Drosophila melanogaster: one gene and its partners. The protein of the gene in region 1 interacts with the protein of each later gene in a pairwise test. Each region holds a gene or a part of one and is shown in the gene's direction. Other genes may lie near its edges.

Region 1 (4,759 bases):
GGAGCGGGCCAAGAGGCTGGGACTTACCACCGACCAGCTGTCCAACTGCACCGTCGCATGGCAGTGCGCCGATGCCGAGAAGTTGCCCTTCCCGGACGCTAGCTTTACGGCCTACACTATTGCCTTTGGCATCAGGAACTGCACACATGTGGATAAGGTAGGCGGATCATGAAATGTACTCTTTGTACTTATTTCTCCCTTCCATCTAAGGTTCTTTCTGAAGCGTATCGAGTGCTGCAGCCGGGCGGACGATTCATGTGCCTGGAGTTCAGTCATCTGACGAACGAAACGATGCAATGGCTATATGACCAGTACTCCTTCCAGGTGATTCCGCCCATGGGCCAATTGCTGGCTGGTCAGTGGCAGGCGTACCAGTATCTCGTTGAGAGCATCCGACGGTTTCCCAAGCAGGAGCAATTCAAGCAAATGATCGAGCAGGCCGGATTCGATCAGGTGTCCTACGAGAACCTAACCTTCGGCGTGGTCAGCATTCACTCCGGCTTCAAACTGTGACAGCCGAGGATGATATTTGTTGTAAGCGATTAGGAAATCCTAAGACCATTTGATGGGGCTTAACTATAATCTATATTGTTGGTTTTTTGCGTTTTTTCATGCTGCTCACGTCGGGCAGGTCATAAAGCATCGAATTAAACAAGCTCCTCTGGCGGCTTTTATTTCTGTATGTTTACATTTTGAGGTTTATGTAGCTCTTTGTCAAATATATGTACTTCATGTGCCAAAAGGCAAACCCAAACGGCAAACTGATGACATCTCCGGCGGCAAGGCCTGGGAAAGACCTTGAGGATTGTGTGCCAGACCCACTTAGATGCAAAGGGCGATATGGTGGTAGCCCAATAACCGAACTGTACCAGATGCCAGGTGTAAGGCACTGTAATCGATTTAAATTCCACACACCCAACGGGTCGTTTCCAAAAAAAAGTGAAAATCTCCATGTAGGCTAATCGAAAGTCCATTTACGGCGATGGGATGTGATATAATGCAGAAACTATCCACTTATCTATTGACTTCAGTTCGCCATCAGATGTAGTGCAGGTGAAATTTATGCGTGTGAATGTTGAATTTTAACGAAATTCAAATAATAGCATTGAAATGCCATCAAAATAATTGACCGTGCCATGCTTAATAGGTAATTGCTAATTGGTGCTTTGCAATTGTGCGCTTTTGCTTTTATTACAATGGCTTTATTATGCTTTCACCCGGCGACTGATTAACACGGATTGGACACCCGAATAGCCGCCCATATTATTGGCCGGATTATGTAAGCGGAGACACATTTGATTTGTATCTAAATTGCAGCCAAATCATAAACCTTCGGACCTTCCATCTCCGGCAATCGAAAGTGAAAAGAGTCCGGCGATAAAAAACAAAAAAAACTGAGCACAAAAAGCATGCGGAACATGCAGGCCATTGAAAGCAAAAGTTTGGTGCGTGCGGCAACGTGCTGCGCATGCGTAGGTGGATTCCGGCCAATGGGACAGTGGAGCGGGGCCAGGCAATCAGTGGGACTAGTGGGCAAAGTTGTTGGCAAACTATATAGAGTTTTAGCCTTTTAGATTTTTATGATAATAATCTCGATATCTGAATAAGAAGTAAACTTAGATATGAAGTGTAGTAGGAATATTCCATACTTGAGGAATATACATACCATATATATGCGCACAATCTACGGTACCACAGTGCGTGGTCAGGTGGCGCAGCATAATGAGGCGCTGCTCAGTGGTCAGTGGTCAGTGGGTGAGGGGTCTTCGATTGCGGCAGGTGAAATGGCAGCGTAAAAGTCATAAACTGCCCAATCCATGCCGTATGCCATGCCGATGAGCCGCTGACGGTGGTGCATTGCTAGCACCACCAGTGCCACCGATTGGTATGCACAGTGGGTATGTGCCACTCCACTGTGCCGCGATGTCCGCTTTATAAATACAACAGCGACCAAGGAAGTTCATTTCATTTTCTTGTCGGCGATCGCAGCAAACGGATTAAACGCGAGGCGAGGCGATATATTACATAGTGTCCAAATATACGCATATAGAAATCAAGTCCACTGAATCGAAATGAATCTCTTGGCCAGTTCGAGGAGCCTCCATCTTCTGATGGTCTTGGCTGTCATCTTGGTTTCTCATCGAGCTGAGGCGGGCTTACGTTTGCGTCACACCAGTCGATCGGTCACGCCCCCCGCCAGCACAACGCCCACTTTGACAGTGACCTCCGAGGATGCCCCGCTACAAGAGGAATCGGTGGCGGAGAGTGCCCCAACGGCCAGTGTGGTTACCGAACCGGAAACGGAAGTGGAGGTCACGACCGGAAAGCACAAGCGTGGCATTCTACACGGCCACGCCCACCTGCACGGCCAATGGCCCGCCCGCACCTATGCCGCCCACTACGGCTATAGCCTGCAGCTGCCAGGAGGCAGTGCCTTCCTGGCCGCCGCTCCTCCGCGCCGCCACTTCGTCAAATACGGCCATGGTCTGGTCAAGCCGCTCGTTTCCGGTTCCGGTTTGCTGCCCGCCTTAGCTCCCGCACCCGCTGCCCTGCTGCCCGCCGTCGCCTCAGCCCTGCCCGTTGGATTGCCCACCGGTCTGCCCGGTGGCGTGGCCAGTGCCATTCCCGCCGGAGTCGCTACTGCCTTGTCCACCGGCGTGGCCACCGCTTTGTCCACCGCCGTGGCTCCGCCCTCGTACGTCCTGCGTCCCGGAAATGCGGTCGTCTCCTCGTACAGCGTCAACTATCCGCACCAGCACCTGCAGAAGCCCGTGGTCTTTCAGTCCGCCGTAAAGCCTGTCCACTTCCATGCTCCGGCTCATGGCCATGTGCATGCCGTGCAGGTGAGTTAGCTACATAGGAAACTTGTGGAATATCCCGTTGACCATTTCATTCTTTTCTGTTGCAGCCCACTTATGTGCAGACCTATGCTCCGACTGCTCCGGCAGTGCCTGTTCAGCCCGTGCAGCCAGTGCAGCCAGTTCATCATCTCCAGCCCATTCAGCCCCTTCAACCGGTGCAACCGGTGACCACCCATCTGCAGCCAGTTAGCCCAATCCAACCGGTTCAGCCCCTTCAACCGGTTCAACCCATCCAACCTACAGTGACCTTCGGTGTTCCGTCTCCCCCAGCTGTGGATTTGCCGGTGATCCCTCAGTTCCCACAACCGCCTCAGTTCCCCGGTGTGCCGACCTTTAGCTTCCAGCCCGCTCAGCCAGCGGTGCCAGCCCAACCCGCTGTGCCCGCCCAGCCGGCAGTTCCAGCTGCACCAGAAGCCCCAGAAGTGCCACAGGTTCCCGCCATTCCACAGATTCCGGCCATACCGCAGATACCCCAAATACCACAATTTCCCGGATTCCCTCAATTTCCCGGCTTTCCCCAGATTCCCCAGTTCCCCCAGGCGCCAGCCATTCCATCACCTCCCTCCGTTCCAGGAGTTCCAGCTGTACCCACGGTCCCGGCCTTCCCCAGTCCACCAACTAGCCAATTCTTTCCGGCTGCTCCACAGCCACCATTGCCGCAGCAGCCACCCACTTTTGGCCAACCAGAGTCGCAATTCCCCGGCGGAATTGTACCGCTGCCGGGCTCCACTCCCGTCCGCCCTGAATCCGGCACGGGTATAGCCTCGCCGCAGATTCCCCCACAATCACCCGAGCCGGAGACGCCGTCGGAGGTGCCACCACAGCGGCCATCCGTCCAGCAGCCCTGGAAGCCGGTATTCTATAGTCCACCCACCGAATCCGCGCCAGCGTCGCCGAATCGACCCTCGATCACCCTGCTCCCGCCATACGGAAGTGCGCCAGCTGAAGGTGAGCTCAGATGACGTTATGGATATATATTATTATGCTATATTTCAAACGAATATTTTCCAGGTTACCTGCCACCCGTGGGATCCCAACCGTCGGCCCTGAGTGCCAGTAGTGCCGGAATCGGTGGTCAGGGCGGCATCTTTGACCAGCTGACCGATGCCGAGCTGGAGCACATTTTCGCCCAGGCCAACTTGGCGCAGCAGCAGCACCAGCAGCAGCAGCAGCAGCAGCAACAGCAGCAACAGGGCCACAACTACCACCACTACTGAGTCCACCACTCACTCCACCTAGGGATCTTTTCAAATTTTTTTTTGTTTTTTTTTTTTAAGCCTTCGTTCATTTGTGCTCTACTTGTATTGTAAATTATGTTGCTATTAAATAAGTTATTTATCGAAAAATTGAACAGATCGTTTATTTATTGCGTAATAATAATAAATATAATAAATAATTTAAATAACTAATTCTATTGCAAAGTATATGCGAGATATAGACATAATATCTTAGTTTATTTCCTTTTGGCACATACATATTATCTATTTGAATTTCATTAGGAAATTCCCTTTGGCTCGGCGCATTTTCATTTCCTGAGCTTTTCCGGCGCGCGCTTTTCCCCCAAAGGGCTTTTCACCTTGAACTTGGCGTTCGTTGGTTTCTTTGGAGCTTTTCCCGTTCAGCTTTTCATTCATAAATTGCCAGCCGGCGCGCTGAATGAGTGCGTTGTGTGCTTGGTTGGGTGAAAAGTGGGCGGTTGGGCGGTCGGCTGGGCGGCGCCAGTGGGCGGGGCACCTGGAAAGGCCGCATGCCACATGTTGCAGGCATTCGCTCGCCTTTTTTTCAGCTCAGTTGTTTGTTATCGTTGGCGGCGAACGCGCGTCTGCTGCGGACCAAAAATCGACTATATTCCGACTATATACCGCGCATATATATTTTTGGATCCACCGATCCGCGAT
Region 2 (2,705 bases), on another chromosome or scaffold:
CGTAAAACAGTTCAAAAGGAGGGAAGGAAGCCAGCGGTGGCATCTTGGCAACGATACTGGCTACAGATTTGGGCCAACTCGCTGGTGTATTTCCCACCCAAATCCTTTAAAGGAAGCGAACGCAACGACTTTAAGCGGGAACCGTGCAAAGTGTGTCCATTGGATGGATGGTATGCCCACGTGAGCGATAACACCAAGCACAAGAACACCTTCGAACTGTGCCACCGAACTCTGGGCACCGTCTATCGCTTCCGGACGGACAGTCCCCAGATGACGCATCTCTGGTCGAATGCCATTTGCAAATTGGCCACCATGCGAGTGCCCAAACCTCTGCCCACCAACCTAATGTCCTTTGAATAAGCCGGGCGCCCAAGAACACACAGAAACTCGAATATATATTGTACTCATTGTAGCCTAGTTTATCTAGTTTAGTTAGCTTTAAACCTTGAAACGTGCACAGCCAAAAAAAAAAACACCCACCCACCACATCGCTCACTCACTCCCTGAAACGAGGCAACCACAGAACATTCCCGCAACCACAACGAACGAACAAATTGCAGCTTGCATCAGATGAATCGATTTCAAAATGGTATTTCAAAAGACTGACACCGAATGAGAACACGAAGATATAGTAAAGGAGGAGCAGTACTACGAAAGTAGCCACACAATCACAACAACAACAACAACAACAGACTAAACCGTCAACGCAGGGAAATTAGAATCCCAAATTTGTAATGGCCCTGTTATAAAAGTCCAATTTTATTTGAATTTGAATGTATCGGAAACGGAATTGATAAAACGGCTTGTCATCGAATATATATTTATTTTAAGATTGTTCAGTGACCCAGAATTTAGAAATGTAGTAAAATCTGTAAATGGGATCCAATACTACTAGCTAAAAACCAGTTTATTTCCGAATTCGCTTAGCTTGGCAACAGGGCTGTCTTTTTGTTAATGTGCTGTCTTTGCTGTACTTTGTATTTGTAAAATGTTATATTAAGTAAATTACTTGGACGTTTACTCAACTTAATTTTGCGCAGACTGTGCCATATTAGTTTATAAATTTATGTGTCTACACAAACACTGTTGGCCAGCAAACGAATCCAAATTCGATTTGCCCAGCTCCTAACTTTGTAACGAAAAATCAAAAATCCAACGAACTTTCTACGCGTAACTAAGGGCTTTAATATTGTGTATCGCTACCACTATCATGATCAACATCCGTTAATCTCTATATCTGCCTTAAGTTGATGCACTAGACATAAATAGAGCTATAAAGTACATATGTACGTATCAACAACAAATGCATGCGTAAATTATAGGAAACGAAAGTAATGTTAGTGTTTCTTTTTTTCGGTTGAGAAATTGAATTGTAACACCTAAGCTTTGTCACACATACAGATTATCATTTGCAGTGTTTTACATTACATTTAAGAAAGAAATGCAACAAAAACAAAATAAACTACAAAATGAAAGAAAAGAAATGTGCGTTATATAAGGCATCTAGGGTTATTCACAACCCAATCAGATCGTGCAAAGTGCGGGAATTTGCAATTCATTTGCACAGACGCACTGAATCACAATTAGGGAGCTCGGCTTGCCGTGAAACTGGAGGCCTTTAAAACGTGAAGATTGGCTAATAGCCTCGCCAGTCGATTGCGAAACATGAAAGCGGCGAAAAGTGGCGACAGGATGGCGTATCCATGGATTAAAATGAGGCCCCTGCTGATGCTGACAGTAATATTGGTCATTTTCTTCAGCTACGGCCTGGCCGGCAAGACGACCACCATGTGAGAGGATTACGCAACTAGCCAGCCACTAGACCACTTTCACTAACTAATCCACTAATCCATCCTCCTTTCTCCCTTTCGAAAAACCCAGCGTTAGCCACACAGACACCCTCGATCCGCAGGCCGATGGCTTCTGGGTCAACAAGACGACGTGGAACGCTCGCTGGGTAAAGTACTGGCGGGCCAAGAAGATCTACGAGCCGGTGTGGAAAAAGGTCTGGACACCCACCATTCACAACGAGTGGGTGCCCTTGCCCAATGTGCCCAATGAATGGGAGGCGGAAAAGGATCGCTCCTAAAAATAGCACTGAGACTGAAACATAGGCTAAGATTATTTATGGTTTAGTTGTTTATATTTTATTTTATATTCACTGGTAATTAAAGTCTAGAGATAATTTAAAGTGGCGCCAAGGCAAATGGAAGTGGAAATGGATGGCCTTATGAGCTAGCGACTGGTTTACGACTATTTACAAGGAGCTTGGAACCGGGCGCTGTTATGCAACCGTTTAGGTGATGCAATGACCTCCTACGCGCCGGGAAACTTGAATGACTGCGAGGTGGTGGCCACCGAGGCGGCAGGTGCTGCTACGGGGGATTTAGCTGCCTCCAGAGACTTGGCCTGGAAGTCGGCGCTGGCCACTGGCTGCAGCATTGTTGGCTTGCCAGCGGCATTGGTGTCATCTCGTTTCCAGACCACCTTATCTTTGCCATCTGCCGTCCTGGTGGCCGTAACACCTGTGTCCTTGCGATCCCAATCATGGTGCTCATGATGATGATGATCGTGGTGATCGGGCGAGGGGAACCATTCTGAAATGACCACTGGCTTCCAGATCTTTTTCCATCCAGGCACCCAGATCTCCTTCCAGCCGGGCACCCAAATCTGCTTCCATGCCTCCTTCCATTCCTGAAAAGAGT
Region 3 (3,369 bases), on another chromosome or scaffold:
GGTGGTAGGCGACGGCGGGAGCCGAGTACGAGGTGTAGGTGGCAGCGGGGGCGGCATAGTGGGCGGGAGCTGCGTAGTGGGTGGGAGCAGCATAGGTGGCATATGCAGCGGGGGCAGCATAGTGAGCCACTGGGGCCACAGTCTTGACCACAGCAGGAGCAGCGTAGTGGGCAACTGGAGCAACGGTCTTGACCACAGCGGGAGCAGCGTAGTGGGCGACAGCAGGGGCGGCGTATTGGGCAACGGGAGCGGCGACGGTCTTCACAACGGGGGCAACGGCGACGGCCTTGACCAGGGGCTCACGGTTGACAACGGCGTTGAATCCGTTGATGGGATCGGCGGTGTACTGGACGGTCCTCTTGTAGCCGTCAGCGTCGATCAGGGAGTACTCTCCGCGTACCACATCTCCATCGCGCTCCTCCACCTGTCCCTTGTTGTCACCGGTTAGCTTGTCATCGACTCCGTAGGAGAAGCGGTACTGGGGGTGGGGGTCGTACTCCTCGGCGGCCTTGACCACGACCTTTTGGGCGACGGCCACGGGGGCGTGGGCGTAGGTGGCCACCGCTGGGGCAGCATGGTACACCTGTGGGGCGGCGATGGGAGCATAACCGGCGCTGGCCACGGCGACGAAGGCGAGGGCGAAGACAAACTAAATTCAAGAGCGTTAGATATCCAACCGGAATTTCGTATACAGTTGATCCCGGATTTCCATCGAGATGACTCACCTTGAAGGCCATGTTGCTAGGAGTGCTGATTGGTAGTTCTTTACAGAAGTGAACTGGATCTGCGAATGATACTTTTCTGTGTCCGATCGACAACTTTTATAGTAAATCAAGCTGCCAGCTCTGCTCTGCTTTGGCCCAATACGCCGACAGCACGTGTTATTTTCGCGGTGACAGCGAAATATATTAAATGCTTCTCGACTGCGATTGTTGTCGGGCAATAACTTGTACTTCCTGTTCGTGGCGCTAAGCTCAGTGGGTGTGCAAATGCTTGTGGCCACAGATTCTAAACCCGTCAGCACCGAAAGAGTGAAAGATCTTTGGGGAAAGGTTTGCGTAATACCGAAAGGGCTTTGCCGGCCGCAATGTGTGGCTAATTACTTTGTTATATAACGCTGTATAAGATCGCTTTAAGAAGATATACTGATCATATATTTTTTTCTTACAAAGCAAATCGCAAAATTTTGATTAGGTTTTTTTAAAGATTTTCGAATCTTTAGAGTTCACTGTGCAATCTGATTGATATTCTTTAAATACTCTATACATATATGATTATAATTATACGAACGGATTTGCAATCTTAAAGAGTTGAATGAACTTTACACTGTGCTGGATAAGAAAAAACTCTTGAAAAAAGATTAATATTTTTTGAAATTGGTTGACACTACAAAAACTGTGGTTCTAAAAACTAAAAGCTAAGTTGGGTCTGCGTTAGTGTCCTAAGGAACACAACTACTTAGCTACATCTAAATACCTAACATTCTATTTACACTCAGATAATAATTTATCAGATACACATTTAAGAGTTTGGCATTTATGGGTCTTAGAACATAAACGTTAAAAATATATTACACAATGCATTATTTTTGTACAATATATAGAAAATCGCTGCTTCATTCAAAATAAATGCCCTTTTGCGAAGTCTGTGGGAATCAAGGCCACCCACCAGACATCCACGATCCCATCCTTAAAATATCTTGGATAATCGAAACGCTATTAGCAGATGCAATCCATTCCCAACTACCAATTTTAACGTGGGCACCGCGCGAATCCGCCGAATCCTTTCTAAATAATTGGACTGCATCTCGCATTCGCAAATCCCTTCTCCTCTCTTGGTTCTCTGCCGGCGTCTCTGCCGACTTTGCCGTTGACTTCGCAGAGCGGTGACTTCGCGCTAATTTGGAGCATGATATTCAGAAGGCCAAGCGTAAGCACCTTGCTTCACCTGAGCAGAAACTGCAAGCGGGAGCTATAAAACCGCTGGCCGGCCAGAAACCGTATCATTCAGCCATCAGCACCGTTTCCGCAAAGAACTAACCCACGAATCCAAAAACCCTATAAAATGGCATTCAAGGTGAGTCCTGTGGTATCCCACCAGAACCCGTTTCTCTAACGAATATGTTCCCCAGTTTGTCTTCGCCCTCGCCTTCGTCGCCGTGGCCAGCGCCGGTTATGCCCCCATCGCCGCCCCACAGGTGTACCACGCTGCCCCAGCGGTGGCCACCTACGCCCACGCCCCCGTGGCCGTCGCCCAGAAGGTCGTGGTCAAGGCCGCCGAGGAGTACGACCCCCACCCCCAGTACCGCTTCTCCTACGGAGTCGATGACAAGCTAACCGGTGACAACAAGGGACAGGTGGAGGAGCGCGATGGAGATGTGGTACGCGGAGAGTACTCCCTGATCGACGCTGACGGCTACAAGAGGATCGTCCAGTACACCGCCGATCCCATCAACGGATTCAACGCCGTTGTCAACCGTGAGCCCCTGGTCAAGGCCGTCGCCGTTGCCCCCGTTGTGAAGACCGTCGCCGCTCCCGTTGCCCAATACGCCGCCCCTGCTGTCGCCCACTACGCTGCTCCCGCTGTGGTCAAGACCGTGGCTCCAGTTGCCCACTACGCTGCTCCTGCTGTGGTCAAGACTGTGGCCCCAGTGGCTCACTATGCTGCCCCCGCTGCATATGCCACCTATGCTGCTCCCACCCACTACGCCGCCCCCGCTGTTGCCTACCACCCCTGAGAACTGACATTCCACATTGCCCAGCTCTTTATTGTTATAGTTTTACGAACGACTTCTATATATATAAAAATATATTTCACATTTAAAAAGGTTATATCACTGTATCCTATCCAAAGGATATGTATTTCCTGGGGCTCAATTCGATTCACGAAGCAATACAATTTATTGTAATTACTTTTGCTTCGTGAGGGCTAAATTAGAGTGGCTGTGTGGCCAATTAATTGAATTAGGCTGCGACATTGAAATTCCAAATTCCAAAATTCCAAAGTTTTAAAGTCAAATTGAATTTTTTCTTTCAATCGCTCCATTCCATTGAGATATCTATGATGTTCGATTCGGGTCTGGACGTTGGCCAATCCTATCAACGAATAATAAATCATAATCAGATCGGTGTGAAATATTCATGTGTGCTTATAAAAGCAATTAACGGATATATAATATAAACGATTTTTTCGTTTGCCGGATTTCGATTTGATTTTGCTAAATGGAACTTCAGTGACCGGCTTTCCCATTCCCCTCTTTGCTCGTACCTATTACCATTAATTTTTTGTATTTAAACAATAGAATAGACTGACTACAAATAGTACACTTCCAAAAAACTCGTATAGAATCATACTAATTAGAATTATTAA
Region 4 (7,386 bases), on another chromosome or scaffold:
CGAAACAGCAGCTGGACAAACTGCGCGACACCAACATATTCAACATCACCTTTCACATCTGGCATGCCGGGCATTTCGGTACCATTAATAACTTTAGGCTGGGTCGATTGCCCTCTGTATCCGTGGACTGGTCAGAGATCAACGCCGCTTGGGGCCAGACGGTGCTTCTGCTCTCTGCGCTTGCTCGTAAGATAGGGCTCACCTTCGAGCGGTATCGTGTAGTACCCTTTGGAAATCATTCGTATGTTGAGGTGCTCGGCGAGAATCGAGAGCTCCCGCTTTATGGCAGCGGCGGATTTAAGTTTTTCTGGGACACCAAGTTTGATGCTGCCATGGTAGCTTTTCTCGACTGTCTTACCCAGTTCCAGAAGGAGGTCGAGAAGCGCGACACCGAGTTCCTGCTGCCCTACAAGATGGAGAAGGGCAAGATCATCGATCCCTCCACGGGAAATTCCTATTCTATTAAGTAGGTTTAGAAATGGTAAAGATTTTACCTATAATAATGATGGTTTCCTTACAGAATCCAGTTTAACTCGGAGGAGCAGTGGACCAAGGCACTGAAATTCATGCTAACCAACCTGAAATGGGGATTGGCCTGGGTTTCTTCACAGTTTGTGTCACCGTGATTTTTCTTTCTCTTTTAAATGTATATTTATAAATTACTTAATTATCCCCATAGTATTAAATCTAAATCTTTCAAATTTTAAATGAGAAGTATTTATATTGTTATGTTTATTTCAGGTAAATTTTGAAATAAGAACGTCTTTGGTACATACTTAATTCAAAAGTTATTTATCTAGTTTTGTATAGCTTTTTTCTGTGTTTTTGGCTCCTCCTCGCTGTCGTCAGAGTCAGAGTCGGATCCAGAGATGTCATCGTCTATCCAGAGTGTGCCCTTTTTCTTCTTTTTTGCCTTGGTCTTGTCTACGGCGGGGGATTTCCTCTTTGTGCCACTGGAAGTTGCTTCCTCGACGCCTTTCTCCTTGTTCTCCTCGGCCTGCTTGAGTCCCTCCTCGAAGGCGTCGTTTACCTTCTCGGTCAGATTAGCCCTGGCTTCCTCGTACTTATCGTCCTTAAAGTCGTGCTTGGGCACGGCCAGCAGTTTCTCGATTTTTCGCTTTTTACGCTCCTCGGCCTCCCGTTCCCGTTCGCCCTGCTTCTCCAGCCAGGCGCGCACCCGCTTCTCCTCGTTGATATCCCGCAAACGGCGACCACTTAGATCGCGGCAAGCCTCGCGATTGGTTGTCTTTTCAATTTGCGCACCAATGGCTCGAAGCATGGAACCAAATCCTCCTTTGCCACCGAGCTGGCGGAGAACGCAGTGAACATCTCCAGATGAAATTTCTCCCTCCAAGCGCTTGCCATTGCTGACTAAGTAGTATTCCCCTGGTTGCAGGTTCTGTAAAAAAAAGGGCCACATTGCAAAATCTTATGAAAATTATACATAACATACTCACTGTTTTCTCCGCAATCCGACTGTAAAGCTCATCACATTTAACGTGATCTCCACAAGAAATTATATATTTACTGTTTATAAAAATATTTATGCCCATTTCGACGACCTTTTCGATAACGATTGTTATTTCTAGTCTGCTTTGTGCTGCATTTGCGCCCGCGGTGAGTGTGTTAGAGAGAGAAAGCGGTGATGCAAGCGTTATCGCCTGCCCTAGGGTTGCCCCCTTTTCGATAACGTTGCTTCAAATAACTTAAAGTCGCGAATTAATGTGTGATCCTTGTCATATTATCGCTGAATTTCCATTAAATACCCCTACGTAAGTAATTTTATAAAAAAATCTTGTCAAGTCCATACTCTTTATTGCATTTCCCATCTTGCCGCCATTGCGTTTTTATTTCTCAGCAAGTTGGCAGCCCTGGCTCTCGCACACAAAATCTCATTAATTAGTTCGCATTTTAGACGACGAAGGTAAAATTTTAGCGACGCGTTCAACGTACATTTGCAGCCCCTAACAACTTTGAAAGTTTCGCAAAATTAATACAAACCGGTAGCGGCTAAACTTGACCGTCAAATGAAGTGTGCGAACAGAGTGCAGAGCAAGTAAAATGCGGTAAATTTACAAACGCAGCCACGTCACAGAGAGCGCATTAAAGAAAAAAGAAGAGAGTGCGAATTTTGACAGCGAAATTCGAGTCTGAACAATGGACATTAAGCGAATGCACTATAGTGCGGCGGGGACGATAATTGTTAAGCCCAGTTTTCGGCACCGCTGTCAGGCAGCAGGGTCGGGGCGGAGGCGTGGCGGTTGTTGGTGGCGGGGGAGCGGCATTAAAAGATGGCAGCACAAAAGCGAACAAGATACATACATATACGTACATATAGCGGCAAGCTGAAAAGGCAAATGAAAAGTCCCGCATTCAAATCGTCTTGGTATTGGTATATTGGCATTAGTTTAAATACACTCAATAGCCAAAAGCGGAAAAAAGCAAAAGCAAAAGAAAAGTGGAGACTCATGTGAGGAAAACGCAAACAAAAAGACCAGCGCAAGACGCCTCTCTCTGCGTGTGTGTGTGTGCGTGTCGGTGCTAATGTGTCAGTGTGTGTGCGAAAAAGAGACGAAGAAAATAAGCAGCAAATGAGCAACCAAAACCACCCCGCCATTCCCTTTTCGCCGTCTCTTCAGTTCTGTGACTTTGACTGACATTTTCTAGCGCCGCCGCCGCAGAAATAATCAAAATCAAGTTTAGTTCTATGCAAATTAAAATTTGATTTCGCAAAGTGTGAAGAAGAAGAACACGAATCTAATGCAACCGTGTGTGTCACCCGCCCGCCGGTTTCGCAAAATTTCCCACATCTTTCTCTTCCTTTTCCCTGTTTTTCTTTCTCCTCATTTTGTTATCGACGGTCATTCATCTTCTAGTCGATTTTCGTCGTTCTCCTTTCGCCCTCGTCTCGCTGGCGTGCCTGAGTGTGCATTTCTGTGTGCTGTGCGTGAGTGGCCCAAAAAAAAATTTGTAAATGTGAATACAGAAATATATTAATTATAAACTAAATCATTTTGCAAGGCCCGCAAATTTGTTGCGAATGAATGGCTATTGTCAATTGTTGGCCATTCGCTTTGTTATAAAGACAGGCAGTCTCTTTCCCCTGTCCTTTCCCACCCGCCTCTCTCGCTCCGAAGATAGCTCACTCACTCTCCCCGTGTTTTTCGTGTGCGCCAGTGTGTGTGAGCGTGCGTCTGTGTGTGCGTGTCCCTGCACTGCTTTGCCGCCTTCTTTGTTCCCATCATGCGAAAAGGGGGCGGGGCGGGGTAGTCGATTTATATCCATATCATTTGCGCCTGTTTTAAGGCCCACCGATCATGTGCCATTAGACCTTGTCCCACTCTTCCGGTTATCAGCGCAAAACTAACCCAAATTTACCTCTCTCTTTTACAGCAGCAACGATTCCAGGGGTCAGCTTCGAAACCCGAAAAGTACACTCAGCCTGCGAACTTTCACGCTGTTTAACTTAGCTAACTAATTTTTGTACAAGAGCAAGAATAAGTAGTCGCAACCAAGTATTCATATGTACATTTATACAATCCTGTATATTGGAACGGACAACTATTTATAATCACAACAACAACATCCGGATCATCGAAGAAGGATCGAGCAATTCTGAAATACCAAGTAGTGTACACCAAGAAACCCCGAATCCAAATCCCAGGCCCCCAGGAAAGGAAGTCAACCGATTATAGACATATATATTAGGCGACTAATCGTATATTCCAAAACACTCCATTAGCGTTTAGTTAGGACAGATATATTTATACGTATACATATAGATGTTTAACGAAATTTTCAATTAGGCGCCAGATTAGGAACAAAATAAAGCAATAAACGACGAACCTCAGCGTTAAGCAAATAGATCAACCTACCTAGATTGAGCATATAAAGTTTATATAATCCAAAAAAATCAAGCCAAGCCGAGAGTAAGTCGAAAGTAGTAGAAAATCAAAGTATTCAAATCTCTCTTGGAGTTTCCTGTTAGCAGCTAGCACCAATTAGATTGCCGCAAATACACCTGTTTAATTAGCAGACACTTTAGATTTTGTACGTAGCTAGGAACTTAATCTGCAAATTTTTGATACATCCCCTTCCGATTAATGCGGCCAGGTGCAGTAGTTGCAATTCCGGTTTTAGTGTAGAGTCAGTAGATTGTCGCTGTAGCCTAGTGTATAATCAGATCAAAAAAGCCACAGTCCCGTGACATCCGACAGCCATGGACGAGTCGCAACCGAAGACCCTATACGTGGGCAACCTGGATAGCTCAGTGTCCGAGGACCTGCTAATTGCCCTCTTCAGCACCATGGGGCCCGTCAAAAGCTGCAAAATCATTCGGGAACCGGGCAACGATCCATATGCCTTCATCGAATATTCCAACTACCAGGCAGCCACAACAGCTCTGACCGCCATGAATAAACGCCTATTCCTCGAAAAGGAAATCAAGGTAAGCTGATTAGCTTCTCTTAAGTTATCAAGTGGACAGCGGTCATTTTCATTCATTTTGTTCGAAACTACACTCTTGCAACACACACATTCCCCACGACCAAGCCCTCATGTTATTTTAATTATGTAGAACTTAATTGATTATTACCTATTAAACGAATGCTCTTCGCAGGTCAACTGGGCCACCAGTCCCGGCAATCAGCCGAAGACAGACATCAGTTCGCACCACCACATATTCGTGGGCGACCTCAGTCCCGAGATTGAGACAGAAACACTGCGCGAGGCTTTCGCCCCATTCGGAGAGATCTCCAACTGTCGCATTGTGCGCGACCCTCACACCATGAAGTCAAAGGGTTACGCCTTCGTGTCGTTTGTGAAAAAGGCGGAGGCAGAGAACGCCATCCAGGCGATGAACGGCCAGTGGATTGGCTCGCGCTCGATACGCACCAACTGGTCCACGCGCAAGCTGCCACCACCACGCGAGCCTTCCAAGGGCGGAGGCCAGGGAGGCGGAATGGGTGGCGGACCGGGCAATGGGTCCGGTGTAAAGGGAAGTCAACGCCACACCTTCGAGGAAGTGTATAACCAGTCGAGCCCCACCAACACCACCGTATACTGTGGCGGATTCCCGCCGAATGTCATCAGTGACGACCTGATGCACAAGCACTTCGTCCAGTTTGGTCCCATCCAGGACGTGCGGGTCTTCAAGGACAAGGGCTTCTCGTTCATCAAGTTTGTTACCAAGGAGGCAGCCGCCCACGCCATCGAGCACACGCACAACAGCGAGGTACATGGAAACCTGGTAAAGTGCTTCTGGGGCAAAGAGAACGGAGGCGATAACTCGGCCAATAACCTCAATGCCGCCGCTGCCGCGGCAGCAGCCTCTGCCAATGTTGCCGCCGTTGCGGCAGCCAATGCTGCGGTTGCCGCTGGAGCGGGTATGCCCGGTCAGATGATGACGCAGCAACAGATCGCCGCCGCAACAGGAGCGGCGATACCCGGCCAAATGATGACACCCCAGCAGATTGCGGCGCAGTATCCATACGCGTACCAGCAGATGGGCTACTGGTATCCACCTGCGGTAAGTGTTGTATTCTTTAAATACGCAGTGACCTAAAGATTGACCCTAACTTTGTGCTTTTCTGCAGACTTATCCCACAACCCAGATGCAGACGCAATACATGCAGCAGGGCTACTATCCCTACGCCTACCCTACCAGTGCTCAGCAAGCGGGAGGAGTCCGTAAGTTTACTTTTCTCAGTTGCTGAATAATCGTGACCTTGGCTTAAACAGCTTGCATACAATTTTCAGCGGCTGGATACCGCATGGTGCCGCCGAATGTAGCATGGGGCGTGCCCGGAACTGTGGTGCCCGGTGTGACGGCTGCCGCAGCATCCGCGGCCGCTGCAGCGAACGGATCACTTGCCCCCCAAATGATGTACAGTGCTGCGATGCCACAATACCAGACCCAATGAGCTGAGATGTGACGCCAGCTTCGACGCCGTTTGCAGCATCCGGGAAGTCGCCCCCAGCCGCAGCCACAACCACCTCTGCTGCATCAGCTTCCGCACCTGCAGCAGTTGCAAGCGCATTACGCACGTTTAGGTTACGTACAATACCGAGTAGTAGCAAAGTCGGAGCCGCTCCTGGCCATGCCGTTGACCAGCGGCAGCAGCCACATTGACGGTGGCAATGTATCTGGAGATTATTAAGGATGCGCGAGTGTCCACTTTGAAGTTGTGGCTACGGTTGCGGCTGACTGCGGTGGAAGGAAGCGGAATCGGGTGTGGTATATAGCCCCCCAAAGTCGAACGTTAAGGCGGTGCGTGGAGCTCAACTTCAAGTGATCCACGCCGGCGACAACTGAAAGAACATCAATTGAAAAGCTCCGGGCGATGGGCGGGTAGCTGTAACAATCTAATCCAATCTAAGTACGTGTTAAATTAATTTAATGATTTCTAATTTAAGCAGATATAGGCGTATAAACGAAACGGAAATAAAATAAACCGAATGAGAAATTCAACAAAAACAAACAAATAAAAACTGAAAAGAGAAAATGCTAATTACGCGCGACAGAGTTAAAACAAAAAGAAAACAATCGAAACAAAAACGTGACAAAGCAAATTGTAATTGTAACTATGTGGAACATGTGTCAACGAAAACTGAAGACGGAAAGAGGGTAGTTTCAGTGGGATGAAAGGATAGCCGCAAGCAAGCAAGCCGAATGCAAAAACAAGAGGAAAAACAAATTTAGTCACTAAGAGAATGTAAATTCGAGCATACATATTGTATATTTCCAATGTGGAAAACGAAATGCGATATAAATATGTAAAATGTAAAATAAAGAAGCAAAAAAATATATAAAACAAGTGAGAAAACGAAGGGACGCTGGTTTTTATATTGAGGTAATGAATTAGGATGTGGAATTATTATTTCAAACTTTAATTTATATCATTGATGATAGAAGTGGTTACTACTACTACAAATCTGGTGGAGGATTCAGCGGAGTCTAAAATATAGTTAAAAAGTAATTAACTTTTACAATTGTGCTAAAAAGTTTTCTTAAGGTATAACATACATACATGAATGAATTTTATAGCTTTAATATTCTCTAGTGAGACGCAGTTTTTCTGCGAAACTAGTTTTCATGAATGCTTAATTCTTCTGCTTACTTTCTCTTAATTTAAATGCACCTGGTGATGTCAGCCGTTGCTCAATTCTCAATACACTACCAATGGTTTCCAATAGCTTAGAATTTTGTTGATGATTAAGAATGCAATTGATGTTTCTTGAAATCGATTTTATTTAGCGTATTCTATAGATTTCTTTATATATATAGTTTTATATGCATGTAGTTTTTTTTTGTATCTGTGTTTAGTAACTAGTCAAAGAACTCAAATTCCGGGTGGGCGAGCTGCGTTGAAGCTGGTTCAATGTGTC

What was found.
Region 2: the proteins of CG12723 (region 1) and CG15919 interact in a two-hybrid assay, tested with the Drosophila melanogaster proteins (one large-scale study listed by BioGRID).
Region 3: the proteins of CG12723 (region 1) and Ccp84Aa interact in a two-hybrid assay, tested with the Drosophila melanogaster proteins (one large-scale study listed by BioGRID).
Region 4: the proteins of CG12723 (region 1) and Rox8 interact in a two-hybrid assay, tested with the Drosophila melanogaster proteins (one large-scale study listed by BioGRID).

The regions. Positions count from the first base shown.
Region 1 is NC_004354.4:13,189,086-13,193,844, reverse strand, and holds CG12723 (uncharacterized protein), read left to right. Parts: upstream 1-1,961; 5' UTR 1,962-2,072; coding exon 2,073-2,843; intron 2,844-2,908; coding exon 2,909-3,809; intron 3,810-3,872; coding exon 3,873-4,078; 3' UTR 4,079-4,202; downstream 4,203-4,759. Other genes in the region: Coq5 (coenzyme Q5), read left to right, coding at 1-157, 211-513.
Region 2 is NT_033778.4:16,790,992-16,793,696, forward strand, and holds CG15919 (uncharacterized protein), read left to right. Parts: upstream 1-1,650; 5' UTR 1,651-1,665; coding exon 1,666-1,790; intron 1,791-1,881; coding exon 1,882-2,089; 3' UTR 2,090-2,188; downstream 2,189-2,705. Other genes in the region: RalGPS (Ral GEF with PH domain and SH3 binding motif), read left to right, coding at 1-360; CG15615 (uncharacterized protein), read right to left, coding at 2,317-2,694.
Region 3 is NT_033777.3:6,702,083-6,705,451, forward strand, and holds Ccp84Aa (Ccp84Aa), read left to right. Parts: upstream 1-2,001; 5' UTR 2,002-2,064; coding exon 2,065-2,076; intron 2,077-2,131; coding exon 2,132-2,737; 3' UTR 2,738-2,821; downstream 2,822-3,369. Other genes in the region: Ccp84Ab, read right to left, coding at 1-649, 726-737.
Region 4 is NT_033777.3:24,042,499-24,049,884, reverse strand, and holds Rox8 (Rox8), read left to right. Parts: upstream 1-1,619; 5' UTR 1,620-1,772; exon of another isoform or gene 1,773-2,095; intron 2,096-2,163; exon of another isoform or gene 2,164-2,386; intron 2,387-2,516; exon of another isoform or gene 2,517-2,697; intron 2,698-2,872; exon of another isoform or gene 2,873-2,947; intron 2,948-3,393; 5' UTR 3,394-4,219; coding exon 4,220-4,447; intron 4,448-4,618; coding exon 4,619-5,527; intron 5,528-5,594; coding exon 5,595-5,688; intron 5,689-5,739; coding exon 5,740-5,921; 3' UTR 5,922-6,829; downstream 6,830-7,386. Other genes in the region: Atg6 (Autophagy-related 6), read left to right, coding at 1-466, 521-626; CG5986 (uncharacterized protein), read right to left, coding at 797-1,399, 1,458-1,553.